Linked DNA regions of Nothobranchius furzeri. The main gene of each other region encodes a partner of the protein of the gene in region 2 in a complex. Links are inferred from orthologs where the notes say so. Each region holds a gene or a part of one and is shown on either strand. Other genes may lie near its edges. The genes, in order: E3 ubiquitin-protein ligase Hakai, mettl3, zc3h13, wtap and rbm15b.

The links.
Region 1: mettl3 (region 2) and E3 ubiquitin-protein ligase Hakai share a complex: the UniProt entries of both Homo sapiens proteins name them as parts of the WMM complex. The link is inferred for Nothobranchius furzeri from reciprocal best matches to the Homo sapiens genes METTL3 and CBLL1.
Region 3: mettl3 (region 2) and zc3h13 share a complex: the UniProt entries of both Homo sapiens proteins name them as parts of the WMM complex. The link is inferred for Nothobranchius furzeri from reciprocal best matches to the Homo sapiens genes METTL3 and ZC3H13.
Region 4: mettl3 (region 2) and wtap share a complex: the UniProt entries of both Homo sapiens proteins name them as parts of the WMM complex. The link is inferred for Nothobranchius furzeri from reciprocal best matches to the Homo sapiens genes METTL3 and WTAP.
Region 5: mettl3 (region 2) and rbm15b share a complex: the UniProt entries of both Homo sapiens proteins name them as parts of the WMM complex. The link is inferred for Nothobranchius furzeri from reciprocal best matches to the Homo sapiens genes METTL3 and RBM15B.

What each region holds. Positions count from the first base shown.
Region 1 is NC_091741.1:57,567,272-57,571,870, reverse strand, and holds the start of E3 ubiquitin-protein ligase Hakai, read left to right. Parts: upstream 1-1,744; 5' UTR 1,745-1,863; coding exon 1,864-1,882; intron 1,883-1,921; exon of another isoform or gene 1,922-2,092; intron 2,093-2,624; coding exon 2,625-2,813; intron 2,814-3,954; coding exon 3,955-4,061; intron 4,062-4,303; coding exon 4,304-4,387; intron 4,388-4,464; coding exon 4,465-4,538; intron 4,539-4,599. UniProt on the Homo sapiens protein: E3 ubiquitin-protein ligase that mediates ubiquitination of several tyrosine-phosphorylated Src substrates, including CDH1, CTTN and DOK1. Targets CDH1 for endocytosis and degradation.
Region 2 is NC_091742.1:58,858,672-58,863,068, reverse strand, and holds the start of mettl3 (N(6)-adenosine-methyltransferase subunit METTL3), read left to right. Parts: upstream 1-1,251; coding exon 1,252-1,357; intron 1,358-1,918; coding exon 1,919-2,109; intron 2,110-2,188; coding exon 2,189-2,614; intron 2,615-2,695; coding exon 2,696-2,871; intron 2,872-4,397. Other genes in the region: ttc5 (tetratricopeptide repeat protein 5), read right to left, coding at 655-717, 1,149-1,253. UniProt on the Homo sapiens protein: The METTL3-METTL14 heterodimer forms a N6-methyltransferase complex that methylates adenosine residues at the N(6) position of some RNAs and regulates various processes such as the circadian clock, differentiation of embryonic and hematopoietic stem cells, cortical neurogenesis, response to DNA damage, differentiation of T-cells and primary miRNA processing.
Region 3 is NC_091754.1:49,209,890-49,214,456, forward strand, and holds the start of zc3h13 (zinc finger CCCH domain-containing protein 13), read right to left. Parts: upstream 2,880-4,567; 5' UTR 2,740-2,879; intron 2,116-2,739; 5' UTR 2,107-2,115; coding exon 1,948-2,106; intron 1,861-1,947; coding exon 1,757-1,860; intron 1,671-1,756; coding exon 1,556-1,670; intron 1,472-1,555; coding exon 1,360-1,471; intron 1,248-1,359; coding exon 1,084-1,247; intron 1,003-1,083; coding exon 854-1,002; intron 779-853; coding exon 578-778; intron 198-577; coding exon 30-197; intron 1-29. UniProt on the Homo sapiens protein: Associated component of the WMM complex, a complex that mediates N6-methyladenosine (m6A) methylation of RNAs, a modification that plays a role in the efficiency of mRNA splicing and RNA processing.
Region 4 is NC_091742.1:5,869,455-5,872,328, reverse strand, and holds part of wtap (pre-mRNA-splicing regulator WTAP), read right to left. Parts: intron 1,940-2,874; coding exon 1,761-1,939; intron 1-1,760. UniProt on the Homo sapiens protein: Associated component of the WMM complex, a complex that mediates N6-methyladenosine (m6A) methylation of RNAs, a modification that plays a role in the efficiency of mRNA splicing and RNA processing.
Region 5 is NC_091743.1:78,034,851-78,039,545, forward strand, and holds the start of rbm15b (putative RNA-binding protein 15B), read right to left. Parts: upstream 3,133-4,695; 5' UTR 2,897-3,132; coding exon 416-2,896; 3' UTR 1-415. UniProt on the Homo sapiens protein: RNA-binding protein that acts as a key regulator of N6-methyladenosine (m6A) methylation of RNAs, thereby regulating different processes, such as alternative splicing of mRNAs and X chromosome inactivation mediated by Xist RNA.

The DNA.
Region 1 (4,599 bases), on a different chromosome or scaffold from region 2:
TATTTTTTTTTATTACTGTAGGCTAACATTCGAACAACGTTACGTGCGAGTTTGTTCACAGATTAAATGTTTTATCAAGCTAAAAGATGTCCATGTTATGTCTGTAAAGCATCGAAAGATGACAGACGTTCGTGTTGGCCTCAGCTGACTACAGCTAACCTAAACATCTTAATGAAACATGTTCTTACTTTCTTATGGTGGCAAAACAGAAAAAGGAAAATTCAAGCCACCATCAACGTGTTTTAGATGCGCGTCAAAACATTTAGTGAAGTCAATGTAGCTACTACGTTAGGTAACACTGGCGTCGAGTAATCTTTAGACCTAAACAATTGTGCAAACAAACCCATTTGGCTAACATTCACTTCTTGGGAGAACTCGACCACAGATGTTCAACTGTAAACTCAGTAATAATTTAGCAAATGTAAACTAGTTCCTCCCTTCTTCTTATTAGCATTAGAGCTAATTAGCTGACGACAGTTGACTAGTGTAGAGCCAAAAGCAAACTTGAACAGGTCACTAACTTAGGTATAACTTCGTCGTTGGAACAGTAGAGTTAAAATGTGCAAGTTGCTTAAAAAGACTGATTATTTTAAGACAAAAACTAACCTTTGATGGAAAGTCCGCCGCTGTTGCTTCCTTTTCTGTTGGATATTTGTGGGTTTTATAGTCAAGAGCCAGCTATTAGGTCGATGTAGCTAACGTAGCTTGCCGTGGTAGCTTAGCTAACATCCGTTAGCCTGTGAGTGATTTGTTTTGAAGAAGCACGGGCTAACGTAAGCTAGCTCAACTTCGCTAACGTTAGTCAGATGTGGCTGCAAAACTGTTAAATACGCAAGGTCCATACGTTAATTTCCTCTAAAAATAAAAAGCGATACGTGTCCTTTCTGATAGACAGGGCATGGTTTGTACTCACGCATTAAGTAATTCAAACGCGGGGCTAAGTTTAACATGCAAAGCAAGAAAAACTCAGTCATAAATTTCGAATCAAAATGGCGACATTGTACGATGAGAGCGCGCGGCACACGGGGACGAGCATCAGCTTCACTGCTTCGCAAAACATCAGAGCTCACTCACATGGGGTTCAAGCATCTTAATTGTAAATTATGTAATTTCTGACTCGTTTAATTGTCTCTTACTTTTAAAAATGGTACATTAACAGCGCTTGTGGGAATTGTGCAAATGTATGCGACAAAACGACGCTCAAATTAAAACAAGATCTAAATTATGAGACAAACTCATTATGCAGTAACGCAACAAACACATGAAGTCAAAATTATCGAGACGTTATGCGATATATGTCAGAAATAAGAGATTTTAAAAACACCAGTTTAACTTGAAATTAAAGGTGATATGAATGAAGATGCATATAATCTGATTAAATTAAAAATGCCAATACCAAAATATTAGACTACTAGCTTAAATGCTGTTCTGAAAAGTTTAAAATGCATTTACTTCATTTAGAAGTGCAACAATTTTGACACTTTTACAGAGTGTTAGTTTTTTTTTATTTATGCATGCGAAGTTAACTGCTCAGTTTATACTACAAAGATCAGAAAAGTGGTTTTATTTTAATGAACGAATTACTTAATATTGTATGTTTATAAATATCATCTTTACAGAATTCAAGGGACCCCCCCCCCCCCCCCGGCCACCCACAATGCATTGCGCTCACTCGTTGGATCCGGTTGGATCATGGACCAAAGTGGTGAGCTAAACGCTAAGTAGGCCCTCTGTTGTCAAAGTTTGTTTTTGTGGCTTATTTTTTCGTTTTGCCGCCAGAGTTGCTGCTCTAGTAGTTCTTTAAATTATTACGAACAACCTTCCAGGAATCCGGCTTTGCTGTTGGAGCTTGGTGCCTCTGAAATGCTCCGTTACGGTTTAGGTTAGCTGTGGATTTGTGCTAAAGGACGTCAGTTCACCATTTAACCCTTAAGTTCTAAGTCAGTTGGAATAGTTAGTTGTAACGTTAACTGGAGGTGTGTTCGGTTCCTGTGCCGAATGTGATTAGTTTGATTTTAGGTGTAAATCCAGCGATAGCGTTGTACAGCCTACCTTACCCTGTTTTAGCGCTTAGCTAATTCTTTGGCTAACGGTTTGTAACTTCGTTTTTGTTGCTCGTCCTCAGATTATTTATTGATGTCCGAGACCTTCTTTGTGTTTAGTATTCTCACAAGTAAAGATCAGGGTAAACTGAATTTCGGTTGGATAAAAATAGCCTGGTGTTCTTTCGGAATATTTCTTAAATATGTCAACGTTTCAATCTGTCGCCTTTTATGTGCCTTCGTTTTGAGAATTTTCTCCTTTCTTTACCATAAAAAACACTTTCTTGATAAACTTACGTCACAGATAATAAGCATTATTCTTCAAACCGTTAGATTTATACTTTGATTACATGAGGGAAAGTGTTCCGACACATCAGCAGGCAGAAATGCCAAACATTAACACGCCAAAAAGTAGTTTGAACAAGAACAGAAACGTTTGCTTATTTAACTCATCAGTCGGGTACATTTCAAATAAAGATTTACATAACTTTTGGAACGCAGATGTAATATAATTGTGCTTAATGGTGTGATGCTATCAGTTTTTTGTTTTTATTTTTTGGGTTGTGCATTCGGTGTGTACAGACGGTGATCTTCAAGGGAGCGATGGTTCGGGAAGTTTGGGTGGACTGGATGTTCGCAGACGAATCCCCATCAAGCTCATTTCCAAGCAGCCCTTGAGGAATAAGCCCCAGCAGCGGATGCAGAGGCCTGGCACCAGGCCCTGCAAAAGTGAACCTGGGGAAGATGGTACGCTACCGAGCACATTAAAAAGCAAGTCACCCCCAAATCAACCTTTTTGTGTGATAAACTATATAAATTGTGCTGCAGACATGTGTAGTCAATAGTTTGGCACTTTAGTGCATTTTAGTTAAAATTTTAATTTTCTGACTAAAACTGTCAGTGTTGTGCCGTTGTCAGGTAAAAACTCTGCACTGCATTTGAATTTAAATCTGCCATCGCTATTGGCTAAGAGGTATCCTACAACGTTAGCTGGTACCATATGATGTCACAATGTCGTTGTGAGCGTGTGTGTGTGTGTGTGTGTGTGTGTGTGTGTGTGTGTGTGTGTGTGTGTGTGTGTGTGTGTATTTGTTAGCAGCTCCGCCCTCTCAGTCTGCTAGGCAACAACATTTGTTGCATTTTTCAAATCAGAAGTGGGAGTGGAGTAATACTCTGGTAGGGGGTGACTTGCTCTTTAAACTTTTAAAAAGTAAACTGATCGGGGTTATAGTCACAACATTTTCTGTAGAATTTTAATTTGGAGGTTGAATCTTTTTATGGTTCATGTTGATTCTGTGCTGCAGGAACTGCACAATTCTGGCTGGACTGTGCTCCCAGCAGAATCCACTAATCAGTCATTTGCTCCAATGCAGAGCCTTAAAAATAACTATTTAGACAGATGCTTTTAAAATAAACTGATTTATACACCTCAGTTAGTAATCATAAACATTGTTTTGTTGAACCTGACCAAAACCCTTCTTCTGAGGGTGAGACAGATTTTGCTGTATATTAACTTATAGAATTAACCATTATTCATTAGAATATACTTTATTGTCTCAATTGGGAAATTTGTCATTAGGTCAAAAAAGTTGCACTTCGGTTAGTATAACTGAAAAAAGGAAAAACTACACAGAACCATACTAATCTCCACATTACATACTACTCTTAACAGATGACCTTTGATTATGCATTGTACATAATACACATAGCACATTCCTTAAACATCGAGTACTGCACACTTACACAATCCCACAATACTGCAATTTGAAAATTTCAATCTGAAACATTTTGCCCCAGCTCTATCAGTTGACTAATTGAGTTCTAAACAACAAAATCTGCTTTTATTAATCAGGGTTTTATTGACTTTCTCTTTTCAGTTTTACAATAATACTTATTTTCTCATATTTTGTAGATAAATTCAACTTTAAGCAAGAGGAAAGGTTTGATTGTGGCACCAAAGCTGGCGATGTGTTTGCAAGCCAGCGGAGATTTCCACAACCCCTATTTTGGGACTATAAGGTACGTCAGTGTGGGTTTGCTGACATCATCTTATTATAGTGACTTTCTGTTTTATATATATATATATATATATATATATATATATATATATATATATATATATATATATATAATAAAGCTGTCCATTGACCTTGGGTTAGTGTACACTGTTGTTTTGCTTTGACTATAAAAGCTTTGTGACTGGATTTGAGTATGTCTGAGTGACAGATACCCATAATTCCACCCATTTGCTTTCCCTACAGTTACATTTAATTGGTGAACGGGATGAAGTACCAATTCATTTCTGTGACAAATGTGGCCTCCCTATTCAGCTGTATGGACGGATGGTATGTACTTTGTTCTTGCTTGCTCCCTTTGGTTGGTTTTGAATCATTTTCTGGACTGAGACTCTCCCTCTCCTCAGATCCCATGCAAACATGTTTTCTGTTACGACTGCGCTTTGCTGCATGAGAAGAAAGGAGAAAAGATGTGTCCAGGGTGAGACATGTTTGTTTTTCATTAGAATGACTTCTCAGATGTTAAGAAATCCTGCTAGAAA
Region 2 (4,397 bases):
GGTTAAAAAATTACAATAATATCACTTTTGTTACAATAAAACGTTAAAAATAATATCATTTTATGCAAAGCTGTGATACTTTGTTTTAAATTGTCTTATATTTTGCCGTAGTAGCAATTTACGTTGGAATTTTAATAAATGATCCTTTTTGTTAGTTAAAACTTGTGTTTGTTACCTCAGTTTAATAGCAGCGATGCAAGAAATGAACTGATAACATCCCTGAGCAGATCAGAGCAAAACGTGGATGAAAACTACAAAAAGCAACGTGCAGAAGTATTGAATCGTCTCAGTTTTGAACTATTTATCTTAAAATTTGCCAGAGTATCATGTAATCTGTAAATATTTCCTGGTCAGTAGTTCTCCTGGCTCTTTTTTGAGCGTTTACTTTCCATTTTAAGTGTTTTTGACTGTCCGATAATTGACTAAACCGGATAGGAAAAAACTGCCAATTTGAGTAAAACAATTAGCTCGATGCTTAAACTGACTACATAAACAAAAATGCGTGAGATTTAGATGATAAAAAAGTACACCAGTCACATCAAACAGCATATTAAATGCACTACCAGTCTGTCAAGATGAACTACTTCCTGAAGAAAAACAAAACATAAAACTGAGACATGTAATTAACCAGGCTATGCTGTTACTGAAGCTTGCCTCTATCAGTTGCAGGTCGTTTTTGTCTTTTCCAGGATCTCCACTGTCCTCTTTCTCCGCCATCTTCGCTTCAACAGGAGCACACAAAAATAAAGATTAGCAACAACCGGAACGCAACAAAGTCTTCACGGAAGACGCCAAATAACCGCTAAAGGTTGAATCTTGATGCGATGAGAAACTGACATACTCAATACAGTCGCGAATGCGATCTGGTTTTGGCACAAAGAATGGGAAAATTTTTAATTTCGGTCACGCCGGAAACTGCGGTGGTCCGTCCTTTAAATTCATCCGACATATTATTTCAGTTAATGCTGTATCAAATTAATGAAATGCTTTCGTTACGTTTGTTAACTCCAGCTTAGTATAGAGTTATCAATTTATTATCCTAATAATTTTAGTAAACTGTAAAGACAACCGATAAAGCACCACTTATATTTTTTCCGGAACGTTTAATTTCACTCAAGACGCTCGTCCGGAATGTTCTCGCCGCGTACCATATATAGTTTGTTCCTGAGAGCGCGGATATTTTTCATCTCGTCGTTCTGCGGTGAACTGTGACTGTTTCTGTGAGTGCGCTGCTGTTTTACCCAGCTCGCCATGTCGGACACATGGAGCAATATCCAGGCCCACAAGAAGCAGCTGGACTCTCTGCGGGAGAGGCTGCAGCGGCGACGCAAGGACCCGGCGCAGCTGTCCGCAGCGGGTGTGTACAGGCCGGACACTCGGCAAAGACCGTCGGTGCTATGTCAAAATGTGTTACATCCCGTTGGAATTGGGTTTTATACGTGTTGACAGTGTTTTCGTTATAAACTGAAAATTTGTCTAGAAGAACAAAAATTAGCATGAAATTAATATGTGCGTTAGCTTTTTCCCTGCTGAGCAGTGGGGGAGTAAACGGAAATTGTTTTGTGTTTCCGTGCTGAAAAGAACAAACAATTATTAAATTAACAATAATTCTTTTCTCTTGCAGTTTTCTTAAAATGTATTGGTTTAAGCAACAGTTGTAGTTGGAAATGCATTGAAACAGAATGAGTGGTAATCGTTTTTGACGACACGACACTTCCACTGCTTGTGTTGGTACCAATAAATGATTTAACGTATTATATCAATGGCGTTTACCATATATGAAGTGCAGATTTGATGCGTATGTTTGCTTCAAAGAAGTAATACATTTAAAATACCAATCGGGTGAGCAACAAGAGTTGTGACGTACTGAGCTCTGAAGCTATTTTATCCGAACTAATGTTCTAACCGATCTTCTCAGACGTTGCAGGCAGTGCTGACACTTCCACAGCCAGGAGTGACAGTCCAGCTCCCTCGGCTCCGTTCAGCTCCCAGGAGGAGACGGAAAAACCACCAGACCCAGAACTAGAGAAGAGGCTGCTGGGATATCTGTCCGATCTGAGTCTTTCCCTCCCGACAGACTCCCTCACCATCACAAATCAACTCGGCAGTGTAAGTTTGTCCCCCGTCAACAATAGGACTGTTAAAGCAGTTGTTTTGCATTTTACATCATGTTGATTTCTTATCCCAGTCTGAAGGTGCCGTTAGTCATGGATGCATCCAGAGTCTGCTGCTTAAATTCTCTGCTCAGGAGCTCATTGAGGTCCGACAGCCGTCCTCTTCATCAGCTTCCTCCTGCACAGTCGTCATAGCCGTGGACCACACAAAACTCTGGGCTATGATCGGGTCTGTAGGAGGAGCTCAAAGGACTGGAGTCAAGAGAAAAGCGGAGGAGCAGAAAAGCTTTTCACCTTCACTTCAAAGCTCTGCTTCTCCTCCACATTTGCCCACTTCCTCCCTGACTCCAGCCTCTTCGTCCCTGGTGGCGGGGGCTTCGTTTTCGGGGTGTGGAGCCGAGAAGAAGGGCAGGAGCAGCAAGAGCCAGTCGTCTCATTTGGACATGGAGATTGAAAGCCTCCTGAACCAGCAGTCCACCAAGGAGCAGCAGAGCAAGAAGGTTTACGGATTAACACGTCTAAGCGTGCAGAACTCTGGCGGAGGGAGCGTTGTGTGAATGTTGTTTATATTTCATTTCCAGATGAGTCAGGAGATTCTGGAGCTGCTCAACACCAGCACAGCCAAGGAGCAGTCCATCGTGGAAAAGTTCCGCTCTCGTGGTCGAGCTCAAGTCCAGGAGTTCTGTGATCACGGGACTAAAGAAGAGTGTTTGCGCTCTGGAGACACGCCTCAGCCGTGCACTAAGCTGCACTTCCGGTACACATCCCATCCCATTTTTGAACATCCCACCATTAAATCAACACTTCACACAAAATAGCTCCAATAAAAGGATGTAACCAGTAGAGTACTATAATCACATTTGAACTAGGGCTGGGCAATAAATAAAAAATGTATCTTTATCCAAATTTCTTATTGTAATAATTTTTTCCACGTCAATAAATTTGATAATAAAAAATGAAAAGATGTGTGTAGGTTGGCAGCGTTTGTGTCCCTTTAAGAAGCTGAACCACCTCCAGTCGCATAAAAATGTGACTCAACGTAACACGTGACAGCCCCCTCTAGTGGACAACTGTTGTTTCTGAGCACACCCGTAGTTATCGTCCATTTATCGTTATCGAGATGAAATCCTCAATATATCGTGATGTTGATTTTAGGCCATATCGCCGAGCCCTATTATGAACTGTTAGATGACATTCTGAGAGAATCAGCTCCTCTAAATCTGAGACCAGGGTCTTGAGTCGGAAAAGGGTAGAATGCCTTCTCCATATGAGGTCCTGCCCCAAGTGGAGGAGTTTAAGTATCTCGGGGTCTTGTTCACGAGTGAGGGAAAGATGGAGCGTGAGATCGATAGGCGGATTGGTGCTGCATCTGCAGTGATGCGGGCGTTGTACCGGTCTGTCGTGGTGAAGAGAGAGCTGAGTCAGAAGGCGAAGCTCTCGATTTACCGGTCGATCTACATTCCTACCCTCACCTATGGTCACGAGCTTTGGGTAGTGACAGAAAGAGAGATCGCGGATACAAGCGGCCGAAATGAGTTTTCTCCAAAGAGTGGCTGGCCTCTTCCTTAGAGATAGGGTGAGAAGCTCAGTCATCCGGGAGGGGCTCGGAGTAGACCCGCTGAAAAAGAAGCAAAAATAGGATTCAGAGAAACAAGCTGATTCCTGGAATATTTCAATGCAGCTTTTTCTCTCTTTTTTCCCACATATTTTAGTGTTTGTTTAATTTTGTTCTTGCTACAGGATTGTATTTCTGTCAAAAACAGCAAAAATGCTTGGAGTGCTTCTTAGGTGAAAGATTATAAATACCTCCGGTGCTCTTCAGTTAGAAGATCCTGGCATCGCCTCAGGAAAATGCGGACTGAGGCACTCGGGTGGATGAACATAGTTACGAAGCTTTTATTGTTCCATGGTCAAGCGAATAAAATCGTGTCAGCTAGGGTGTTTCTCAATGTCAAGGCGCCTTACTTACGAGGTCCTTTGGTCAAAGAAAACGGTTAAATGGAACAGACTTGCATCACGTGACCGCGGCTTCCACGGCGGTCACGTAACGTCACGTGACACGGGAGATAAAGTTATATTTTATATGTATTAGTTTCAATATAAATATATAATGAGCTAAATTGTGTATATGTTTATTAAATTAAATATATAAGCGAGTTACTACCCGCTAGCCACCAAAGCTGCAACTACTAAGCAACTAACCAACCATAGATAACTTCTTTGGATCTAAATAAACATTTTAAATAGTTGACTTACTTTTAAACTTGAAAATTGTCCCCGAAG
Region 3 (4,567 bases), on a different chromosome or scaffold from region 2:
TCCGTGTCGGAAAACCAGGAAGTTCAGACCTTTGAGGGGGGGAGGGGAGCAACGAGGCCTTGTGAGATGAAACTTTGGGAGAGACGGACTTCTTCCTCGCTGGAGGTGACGCACACCTGGAGGGAGACGACGCACTTCCAGAGCGCTCCTCCGATGTCACCGCCCGCTTGGCCTTATGGGAACTGTCGGATCGATCACTTTAACACCAAACCGCTTCAGATTAACGGCTGAATGAGAGGTGGATACTACTAATCAGAGGCACAAGCATTAAAAAATAAACCAGGTACGATCAGGAAGCATCCTCTGAGCTGCTCTAGAAAAGCTCAGCGGCTGATTTCGTTAAAACGTGGATTTAAACCCGTCCGAAGCAAACCTTTGGGTTCTGACGCGAATAAAAAGCCGAGTGAGATAAATGCCATGCAGCAAAGTTAGTCCAGCATCTGCGGGTTGAAACAGAACCTTTCGTAGCCACTCACCTGATTATCTGCCTACATAAACAACAAAGGAGAACAGCAACAAGTGAGTTTGTGAAACGGTGGGATAAAAACAGCTGCAGGAGACGACGTTCCCGTCATACCGGCGTTTTTCCTTCTTTTCTTTATGCTTCTCCGTGTCCCGTCCCCGCTCTTTCCCTTCCTTCTGCTTCTCCTCGGTCTTCTCCTTGTTTTTATGTTTCCCTTTGTGTTTTTTCCCAACGACAGGAATGCCGAGAGGGACCGGGGGAGGAGGACTCGGCGTACGAGGCCCCTTCTTCTTACTGTGGCTTCCTTTTGAAGACCTAAAAGAAAAAGGGAGTGATTTTTTTTCTGGGCTCCGTCCCGCGACTCAAGACGCTTTTTTTACGCCTTCTTACCGGAGGGTTTCTGACACCGCCAAGGCCATGGCTGCCTTCTTCTCTTTCTTCCCAGAACCGGAGCCTTTACTTATACTTTTGTATTTCGGGGAGCCGCCGGACTTCCTGGACGACGGCGAATCTTTGGAACCCAACAGCTCAGGCGACACCTGACCAACAGGGACGGCAGGACAAAAGCTCAACGCTGAGGGAATCTGGGGATTTCAGATCTCGTGAATATTAATCCTCACCTTTGGCAGCGCTGCACTCCTGGATTTTATAGGAGCCTCCTCTTTCTTAACGACATCATCTCGTTTGTCCAAATTTTCCTGCTCCAGTTTCATGAGTTCCCGTTGGATCTTCTGGCGCTTCATCTCCAGGGATAACTCGTAATCAAATTCCCCAATATCAGAATCTGAGTCAACAAAGTAAGGTTTGTAGTACTTATTATCATGGCGCGCTGATCTTTTTAACAAAATAATGACAACTAGCATGAATCGTATTATTTGTCGATTAAACTATCCAACCTTCTCGATTAGTTTCCCACTCGACAGGCTCTTCTTCACTGGCTGGGGTCCTCTCCTTCGTGATCTTTATGCCTTCCTTCTCTCTGTGTCGCCCTCTTGAAGAGTCTCTCTGCTACAAAAGGACTCAGCCTTGTTTTTACTCTTCTCCTTTCAGACAATAAGGATTAAAACACTATAGAAAACAAAAATAACTCACTCTGACTTTGGAGGTTGTGGGCTTGTCTACGTCTCGCTTCAAGTTTTCCGGGTCAACATCCTGTCGTTTATTTTTCATCCTCTCCCGCAGATCACCAGTGGGTCTCTCAGCTGACCTGCGTTGCGATTGGTTTCATTGTTTTGAGGAATCAAAAAACTAAATTGGAACAACATGCACAGCAGCAAGTCCAGGTCTCCTCACCGATTAAAGCTGAATCCTTTGCCTCGAGGCTGAGTTCCATGTGTGTAACGACAAGTGTTGCCGTAACTGCAGCTACCGGTCTTCAGCCAATTTCTACAGTGACTCTAAAACACAAATTAAGATAAAAGACATGAAGACAAATCCACTCAAAAAGAAAACCTCCAGTCCTGGAACGGTTCTGCGACACATACATCTGCAGCATTACTCCCAGTGCTAGGACCAAGGCGTTCAAAGACACTGGGCCGGCGAGACGGGGCGCTGGTGTTGCTGGTGCTGCTGGTTGTGGTGCTGCTGCTGTCAGATATCGTTTTTGAATTCTCAACTGTTACTTTCCGCCTGATCTTGGACATTCTGCAGGACTGGAAACATGGTAATACTGTTAATCAGAAGGGTCCAAAGAATCTAAAACTACATAAAAAATCAACAGTTTTACAAAAAAATAATATTTTTTATTTGAACTGTGAATCACAGCGTTTTAATTACGCACCGTGAGATGAACAATACTGTGCAACAACAAAAACATGAAATATAATAAAATAGCAACACAAAGTGAAAAGGGATTTAATGTGTCAGTGGAAGAAATTTTGATAATGTTGAAAATTTCAGAAAATTAACATTTGTCAGCAAAAATAAACTGTTTCAATGTTTTTCTTTCCATAAAAATAAAGAAAAATATCAAAGTTTTTTTTATTCCCCTACATTGTGCAAACGTTTCTAAAAATTGTGCTAGAATTATCTGAGTTTAGACTTCTACGGCTGCACATTAGCTTCAGATTAGCCACTGCTCCCAGCAAACTACGCGATAATATTTCTGCACAGTGTTGTGTTAGAGCTTTAAATGCGTGGCCGGGCCATTCATTTGCACACCTCAAACAGGAAAATCCACGTATATCGAAGCTAATGCTAACAGTAGCTTCAGGCCTTTAAGCCACCACGAGCGCGGTTTAAGCTAATGTAAGATCAAACGGAATACAGCTCCTCACCCAATATTTGGTTTCGGTGTTTCATCTACTTTGTATTAGTTAGCAAAGCAAGACTTTGTCGAAACAACAAGTCCTATTCTTTGAAATCTAAGGCAGAAACTGCCCGGAGTGACTTCATGTTGGCGTACATACAGTGCGCCTCAGACGCATTACGTCGCGTTCTTCTTCTGTGGTACGATCACCGCCAGCAGTAAAGACGTTGACGCCCCATTCGGTGCTGGAGAGCGTAACAGCGTCGTCGCCATATTGGATGGGTCTCCTCACTGTCCAAAGCCAATGCAGAGTGGGCAAATGTGCTCGTTTTGTGCAGCCTACCTTTGCAACAACCGGTTTACTATTGAAACCAGATCTCGTGTGATTACTGTTGACTTTTCTAGTGTAGAGGGGTAAATACTGTTGCTTTTAAGCTTAATACATTACCTTTACTTATGACCAATAAATTGTGATATTCTATATAAACATAGAATATCAACCTGCTTGGTCTTTGAGTGTTTATTCAGAAGATTCTAAGATTCTTTGCTTTTTCCAGGGATCAACAAACTTCATCTCAATTCAGACAGAGTCAGGTTTATAAAAGATAAGAAATTTATTTTCTAAACAAATAAAAACATGACAAGGCTACAGTGATGGATGAGTGATGTCTGGTGATTTAATGGCGTGTGTTTATCAGAACCTTGTATTGAGAAGAACTGAGTTCTGGGTGTGCAAAGGAATTTGGTTTGCATTAAGCTATGAAATTGGTTCTTATCAAAACGGCATCAGATGCAATCATGTTGTGTTCTACATACCCCTGAGAAGACTCCCTTTCGGATCCGAGATGTTGGGGGGTTGGGGGTCGGGTGACCCCAAGGTACCGAAGTTCGTAGAAAAGACCGCATTACGACCAAGTCAGTCCAGAGTCGTCTCCCGGATCACAACAGGTAGATGAAATTGTTTGCGTCTAGAAGGACTCTTAGGGAGTCGGAACTGTATAGCTTTGTTCTGTGTCAACTTCAGCATGTAGCAGGGTTTTTGACAGCTTGTCAAAAATGCTCTGGGTTAAAGAAGGTTTGCTCCGGTAGGCCTGTCCGTAGCTTTCTCTAGAACTGACTCACCGTCTAGTGAGCTCTGTTTTAATATTCTCATATTATGATTTCTTGGCCAACCGGTACGTGTCATGTTAAGGGATGTTCACAAGCAAACCTCAGAACGTCACGCCTCTTTCAGATACAGGATGCTCTAACTTGTGGTTAAGAAAATATCTGTGTCATGACGTTTAACTTTAATTTAATTTATCTCTAATGAACCTTGTGTCTAAGTGTAGATAATGATTCAATTGTCATATCAGACATTACTGATCATCATATATATAAATCTTTCAATGTAATAATAACATTCATTTCAAACTTCAATAATTCAAGCACAGATTAATCAAAACATTTCATTTGGTATTCATATAACATTTGTTCATTCAACCATATGATTATTTCTGTTATAATGGTTCAGTCCTTTATTTTGAGCAGGACAGCCGAGATAAGCAGGACCTTGAGAAGGGAACATGATGTTGATAATCTGTTATCATGTGTTCAGAGCTGCAGAGAGGCCCGGACTCCAGCTGATGGAATGTCAGGATCCGGAAGATTAAAGGCAACAAATGTAGACTCCTGTCTCCATATGACCAGATACTGAAGAGGTTTACACGTTGTGAGGTTACATGAAAAACTGACCAATTGTGGACGTTACACTAGCCTACATGATGGAATTTTACATTGTAATTTATTTTGTTTAATTATATTTATATTTTTGTATCATGGCACACAATGTGTCTAATGTAGTGAAAAAGTTTAAT
Region 4 (2,874 bases), about 53 Mb from region 2:
ATCTGAAATTACCAACTAAAACAAGGTGGTCCTTTTGGTATAAAGTAAATCATGGCTGACAGACATTTGTATAAAACTAAAACCTGCACCGTTTCACTCCAACTTACCATAAAACACATGGAAGTACAATGAACATAATAAAAATACAAGAAAGATTAGCACCCTTTTAAATTCCTCCTCGAAACACAGCTAGCTGTAAATAATAGAAAAGCATCACAGAGCTCGATCTTTTCCCAGTGAAACACTAAAAGTCAAACTTTCAGAGCAGCAAACAGAAAAAGGTGTCCTCATATTAAACACAAATGTTTCAACAGCACAATCACACAGCTCCAGATGCGGTTTGTTCCATTTACAACAGGTAAAGAAGCTGGGAAGCACTTTGCTACACCTGCGATTTGACATCAGTTAGGACTGCAGCTATGCTTTTGGAATCAGTCATAAAGAAGCCAAAAAGGCAAAGAAATTACATAAATGACTTCAAAACAATTCCTGATGGCCACATCTGAAGAATAAATGTATATATACTCATTTAAGTATCATCGGCCCCGAGGGAACTAAAGACATTAAACCCAGCAGTAACTGCATCCTGTACAAGGCATGGTGAGGCATGTTTAAAAAGGCTAAAACTAGAAATGTTTATGATTTAAGAGCATTTGCTGCATTCTCCTGCTATTAAATATGCTGGGAGTTATTTTAAAGCCAACGTAAAATAAAAAAATAAAAACGTGAGCCCCAAACTGTTAAAATAATTAACTAGTGGGTATAGCAGAGAAGTCGCTTTCTGTGGGAGAAATGATTTGGTCAATCACAAAAATACACAAATACAAAAAAATACACCCTCGTCGTCTCAAACACAGCTTCTTCAGGACATTTTCACTCAGTTTGATAACAGGACTCGACACACGTACGGCAGTGTGTTTGAGGGGGTTTAGCAAAGCCCAATCCAAACCGTGTACACAGAACATGCGGGTAAATAATACAAGTCAATCAGGCTCCACACACTGCAGTAAGTGTTTCTATCAAATGAAATGAAACAGTTCACAAAACAAAACACGTAGATGGACTCTACCGTGAGTCGGTCCGACTGGACCCCATGCCTCAACCACCTTTGTGATCCGAAGATCTGGCTCCGCTCAGTCTTAAATGTTTAGTGTCTCCTTCCCCACAAGTTAGCTTTAGTCTTAATTTTCCTCATGTGAATGAAATGTAGCCAAAGGGTCTTTACACTTCTCAGGGAGACTAGCAGGTGTTTGTGTGAAATGATCCACTGTTACATGTCTTTGAAATGTTCAATTGTTGTTTTAGGCTAGGGATGCCCCCTGCCTGACACATCCTCCCCCATAATCCCCTTATTTTATAAATGAACTGTCTGCTTTGAGCTGAGCGGGGGGGCAGAGAGGGCATATCCGTGGCAGGAAGTGAGAGACCACCTCTTCAGAACAGTCCGGACTCCTTCAGGCCCTTGGACGGTGAGGATATGAGGCTGAAACACACGAGTGTCACCTGACCATACGGTCTTTTTTATTGTGTTTTTTAGGTTAAGTGGTGTGCAGCTGGCTCGGTAACAAAAGAACAAAAGCTGTTTTGTTTTTGCAGTGACCGGCTGTCTGTAAAGTCTGAGTCTCGTGACGAGAACAGCGTTTTGTCAGCCTCCCCCCCCCACCATTGTTCCTGCATGCCTGCAGTGAGAGTGAGGATGGGGGAGGCGTGAGGAAGTCTTGACTTTTTCTGAGGGGGGAGTTATTTTTGATTGTCTTTACCTATCAGGTGTAAATTTCCAGGCACTCAGTTCATTTTGGGCCTGCTCCAGTTTGTCTTTAGTCTGTTCCAGTTCAGCCTTCATTTTGAGGAAAAACAAGTTGATGGCTGGATCCACCATGGACGACCGCAGTTGGGCCACGCTCGGCTGCTGGACTTGCTTCAGGTACTGGATCTGGGTCTGCAGGATGGAACGGAATACACATTAGACATCTGTTTAAATCTTTAAAACGATGCTTCAACAATAAACTGCTTTATTCTGAGGTTATGGGTTTATTATAGAAGAGCCTTGATAATATTTAATCAGCCTTTAAAATGATACAAAACAAACTGTTATCCGCTGATCTATAAATAAATAAACGAAAAAATAATTGTGGGTGTTTAAAGTACTCTAAAACAAAACTTACCTGCTAATGCTTAAAGCTTTTACCCCAAAGCAACCATAGCACATTTACATGACATTAGGGCTGGGCGATACGGCCTAAAATCAATATCACGATGTATTGAAGATTTCACCTCGATAACGATAGGTAACAAAAGTTATCCACTAGATGGGGCTGCCACGTGTATAACCTTGACTCAAGGTGGTACGCAGGGTTTTTCCTGACTCAAATTGAGGCAGAGGTGGTACCATCCTGACCATGCGCCAGCACACACTGCCTCACTTTTTTCAAGGTAAAATATTATAAAAGGCTCAATAAAATATATCAGATTGGTGTTTAGTTCCCTTTTTCCCAGCTGATATTTATAGTTAAAATATTTGTAAATGCTTGACCTACATTTCAGGTTTGTATTAATAACACTGATCTTAGTCTAAATGACACATAAACATATCCAGTAACATATAATGCATTTCACTAACATGCATTTGTATTGGAAATGGTAATTACATTTAATTTCTGCTGCTAACAATGTAATGGTGGCATGTCTATTATGTACGGGTTGGAAATAATCCAGTTTATGTTATGTTCAAAGATAGATGCATTTGTGAATTATATACTACAACGGCTTGCCGTAATTCCAGCGACAGCAGTAATGTGACTCGTATCTGCAGCGGTTTCGATCCGTAGCGCTGCAGGATGCAGACTAAACGGGATGGTGGGGGCTTTTCATCCG
Region 5 (4,695 bases), on a different chromosome or scaffold from region 2:
CTGGGTTGGTCTGGCTCCGCGGCGCTGAGCCGAAGAGGAACAAAAACAACGAAGGGATGAAGTCAGGAAGGTTTAGAAGGGCGGACCAAACCATCCCTCCAGGGAAGTGTCTGCATGCAACACCTGGGTGGGGGGTACAGTACAAACACCTGCGTGTCACGTTACCATGTGATTAAAAACAAATAAAGTCAGAAGCAGAGAAACTGTCCTGCTGGGTTTAGTGTCTTTTTTTTTTTTTTACAGCTTAAGTATAAAAGCAGGAGGACCTGCTGTCGCTCCTGTGAGTGTTTTTAAAATCCTCCTCCTTCTCCCGCCAACCCCACCGGCTCACAGGGAGAAGCGGAGTGACGTGTGTAGTGTGGCTGGAATCCAGAATCCTAAAAGGTTTCAAACCAGGAAGTGTTGGTTCTGTACATCAGTTAGTGTCGTTAACGATCACGATCACCATGTGCTCCTCCTCCAGATTACCCACAGTCCTCTTGGCTGTCTGCAGAAACTGCTGAGAGAACTCTCCTGGGGGGAAGGCATAGAGCATGGCGCCCGGCCCACCCTCCTTGGCACTGGGCAGGCTCACCACACCGGCCGCCTCTTTGTTCCGCAGGTACGTCACCAGGTGGCGCAGCAGGCGCACCTGCAATCCTGGCTCCAGACCCGGGGTCTGGCGGTCCACAGGGCCCTGCAGAGCCAGCAGGATGGCAAAGCCATTGGGGCGGCCCACCTTGATGCGGCGCGAAACCTCGTCGAGCCGGGCCTGGTCCATGCGCAGCCGCTGAGCGATCTTTAACTGGCTCAGCTGATTCTTGCTCGGCTGCTTCAGGCTGTCCTTCATCACAGTGTTGAAGAAGGACACGCCCCCCTCCAGCAGGAACAGGTCTGTAGGAAAGCTGCTGTTCTTCAGGGTGAACAAGCCTCTCCACATCCTGGAGAGCATGCTCTGGGCAAACTCCAACAGCGTGCCGGGGGGTGAGGAGGCGTCTGTGTGGGCTGCAGGAGAAGCCGAGGCATTGGCCTCACTGTTCCGATGGTGGTGGTTGTTCAGCTGTTCGCTGGAGGCCCTCTTGCTGTGATGGTGGCTGGAGGGAGGCTCTTCTTCGTTGGTGGACTGCCTTCCAGCTCCTCCGTTGTCAGGGGAATGGTCTCGGGGTTCTGTGGTGGAGTCGGGAGCTCGGACCCGAGCTCGGTCCGGACTCGCTTCAGGAGAGACGGCTCCACCAACACCACGAACCCTTGACCTCCCCACCTCCTTCTCCTCCGTCTGCCTTTCTGCTGACAGACTACTGCTCCTCCTCCTGTTCCTCCTCTCCTCCCTCTCCTTCAGCCAACGTTCCCTGCTCTTGCTACGACTCCTTGCTGCTCTCCCACTCCTCCCAAACGCCTCCACCCCTCCGGACCTCCTCTCCAAGCTGCGGGTGGGGCTGCTGGGAAAGTCTCTCTCCAGCAGGGCCCTCTCCCTCAGGGAGAGCAGGCTGTGAGCAGGGGGAGAACGCTCCCTGGCCCCCCGTAGCTCCTGTTCAAGGCTGCGATGGCGGCTGTATGCCTCTCCAAGAAGGTCATAGTGGGAAGGGAGTGTAACGGGCGTCTGGTAACCAGGAGGAAATGGGCGCGACGGGCTCTCCTCCACCTTAGCAAAGTCCACCCTGAGCCGGTGCTCTGGGCCCCCCAGAGGGAAGCCCCTCATCTGGGTGCAGGCGGCCTGAGCTGCATCCAGACTCTCGTACTGGATGTAGGCAAAGCTGTCCCCCTTCACGTAGTCAATGTTCCGTATGCTGCCAAAGCGATCAAACTCTCGAGCCAGGGCAGCCAGTGGGTTCCCGGGCCCCAGCCCCCCCACCCAGAGGCGGGTGGTGGGGTTGGCTTTGCCGTAACCGATCTTTATGGGGTTCCCACCCATCAGCCGGCCCTGCATGGCCACTTTGGCACGGTGGGCCATGTCCAGGTTCTGAAACTTCACAAACGCATAAGCCCCGCCCTGTCCACGTGCCGGGCGTTTGATCACCACTTCCTCAATGATGCCATATTTATCAAACCCCCTCCGGAGCTCAGCTTCCGTCACGTTCCCATCCAGGTTACCGATGAACAGGTTACTGGTCGCCCGCTGGTCATCCTCCGGCTTCAAGTCCTCCACCACTGGCATGGGGGGCAGGCCGTAGGGCCGCCCCCTCTCATCCAGCATCCCATAGTAGTCCAGCAGCCGGTCCCGGTCTCTGCTCAGACCCAGGGTCTCCAGGGCGTAGTGTCTGGCTCTCAGTTCCCGGAGGTTGCTGACCCCGGGGACAGGGGGGGACAGGGAGCGCTGCCTGTACGGATAGGGGGCGTGGAGGGGTAAATAACCCACGTCCGGTGGGGTGACACTCCGCCTCCGTACGTACATGGGCTCTATCTTCAGCTGGCGCTCTCCCAGAACCAACCTGGAGGATTTGGCGTGCCTGGCCTCCTTGGCATCCTCCGGGTGTCTGAAGTTAACGTAGGCGATCCGGCCAAGCTCCGGTGTGTGCGACAGCTTCACGCTCACATCCCCGAACTTTTTAAATTCGTGAAACAGCGAGTCCTCCACGTCCTCGTCCGACACCTGCGAGCCCAGGTTACTGATGAGCAGCGTTTTATACTCCAGCGTGCCCGGCCGGGGGGCGGGGAGCTCTGCTGCCGAGGTGCGGAGCGGTGGACGGCCGAGGAGGCTGAGCTCATGTCGGTGGTGGAGCTCCAGGGCGGCCGCCCTCTCCTCCCTGAGCCGCGGCTTCTCGCGTTCCCGGCTCCGGCGGCGGTAGCTCCTGCTCTCCGCCAGTAAAAGCGCCAGCGGCGGCGGGGGCAGCTCCTCTCTGCGGCTGCTCTCCCGCTCCCGTGTCCGTTTAGCGATGGCCCTGGACGGACTGCTCTCCCTGCCGGCCTGCCGCTTCATTTTCTCTGGAGGACGGATCGGAAACTTTTCGGTGTCCGCAGCGGGATTCCGGGAGCGTTAGCGGGAGCGAGGCTACGGAGGACGGGCTCAGGGGGAAACGCGGTTCCACGGCATCCGCTGACGTTCGGCTCATTTACGGATAAAAACCAGAAAAGGTTTAAAAACAAAAACTGCATCAGTGGAGCTTCAGCAGCGCCGCCATCTTGGACAATAGGAATGTGCGCGTTCCCCGAGGACGGAGAACTCGATGACGCAAGCACGTCGCGCGTTACCGTCGCTTCACGTTTAAATCTTTATTTGTTTACATAAATAAGTTTATTATTGAAATGATGGAGAATATGCCCACATCATTTAGTCCTGATCTAGAATCCAGAAGTCCCAATCCAGCGCAAATCTCTTGTTAAATTGGTTTAGATGGAATATTCCTGGGACCAAAACATTTCCAGAGACGTTTTTTTTAACTCTGACCTCTTAACAGTAGAAAAATGTTCCTAACTCAAGGGATGAGACAGAGTGGTGGTATCACCCACAGGACGTTAGGCGGCGTTCTTTTGGTTTAAAGGAATTTCTCAGAGAAGGAAAATATTTTTGCCACAAAATGAATTAGACGTAGATGGATTAATTCAGATTAACAATGGATTTGTGAGATTGATGTGGTCATCATGCCTCTGAGGTTTATTACTGAGGACCACTCCAGTGTCCAGTGGGACAGTCTTCTTTATCCACCAGGAGGTTGGAACATTGGTACACCTTCATTTATAAAGCAATGCTTGGATTACTACCCACCTACATCTGTAACTTAATCTCAAGAAGTGTAAGTCCTCAGTCTGGAAGAAGACGATCAGCTGTTACTTTGTGTTCTGTTTGCTCGCACCAATCTGGGCTAAAGGTCTTTTGTTCACTCTGCTCCTTCTGCATGGAACAGGCTGCAGGAAAACTGGGAATTAGTTTTTTTTCTCCTTGACTACATTTAAAACCAGACTGAGAACCCTTGAGAGGATTCTGTGTTGTAACTGCCTTCTGTAATCTAGTGCATAACATGTCTGTGGAGCTGAAACAACTTCTGCTGCCTCTGGGCCAGGACTGCCTTGGAAATGAGGTTTTTCATCTCAATGGGACCTTCCTGGTTAGATGAAGAATAAATCTGTTACTAACATCTAGATTTGGTCTAAAAAGATGTTCTGAGGAAATCCAAAGTTAATCTTGGATTAAGATTGGATGGAATTCTAGATTTCTCCTCTTCTGGGCAGAATGACAGGAAGGACCAGGGATCAGGTCTGAGCCGGACCTCCAGCCTCTCGGGACGATCCATACAAGCACCAGGGTTCTGGGCAAAGCTCGGTTCTCACAGAGGTGTACCCGAAATCCATCTACTGTTCCAAACCAATCCTAAACTTTCTAATCTGTCGGTGAATGCAGTGTCCTAACAAATAAAACCACTAACAGTTAATCCACATTAGCCAATCCCCATGAGGATCAGGGTTTCATCCTAGATCGGTATCGGCCCGGAGTCAAACCAACCCAAACAAACATCTCAGTTGAGTTTTCACATTTTAATGCAAAAGTAGAATTTACAGTTTTAACAGAAACACAAGTCCCACATTCATGATGGTGTTTGATCCATCAGACGGATGAGGAGTCCCTCAGAAACACGACTCTGTATTTTATCGCCTGTTGGCGAAGCTGCTACAGGACTCAGATGGGTTCAGAGTACATGACATAAGTCTGAAAACATCTGTAAGTAGTTCACCTAAAAAGCCGCCACCATTTGATTTGGTTCTAAACGGTTTTAGGAAATA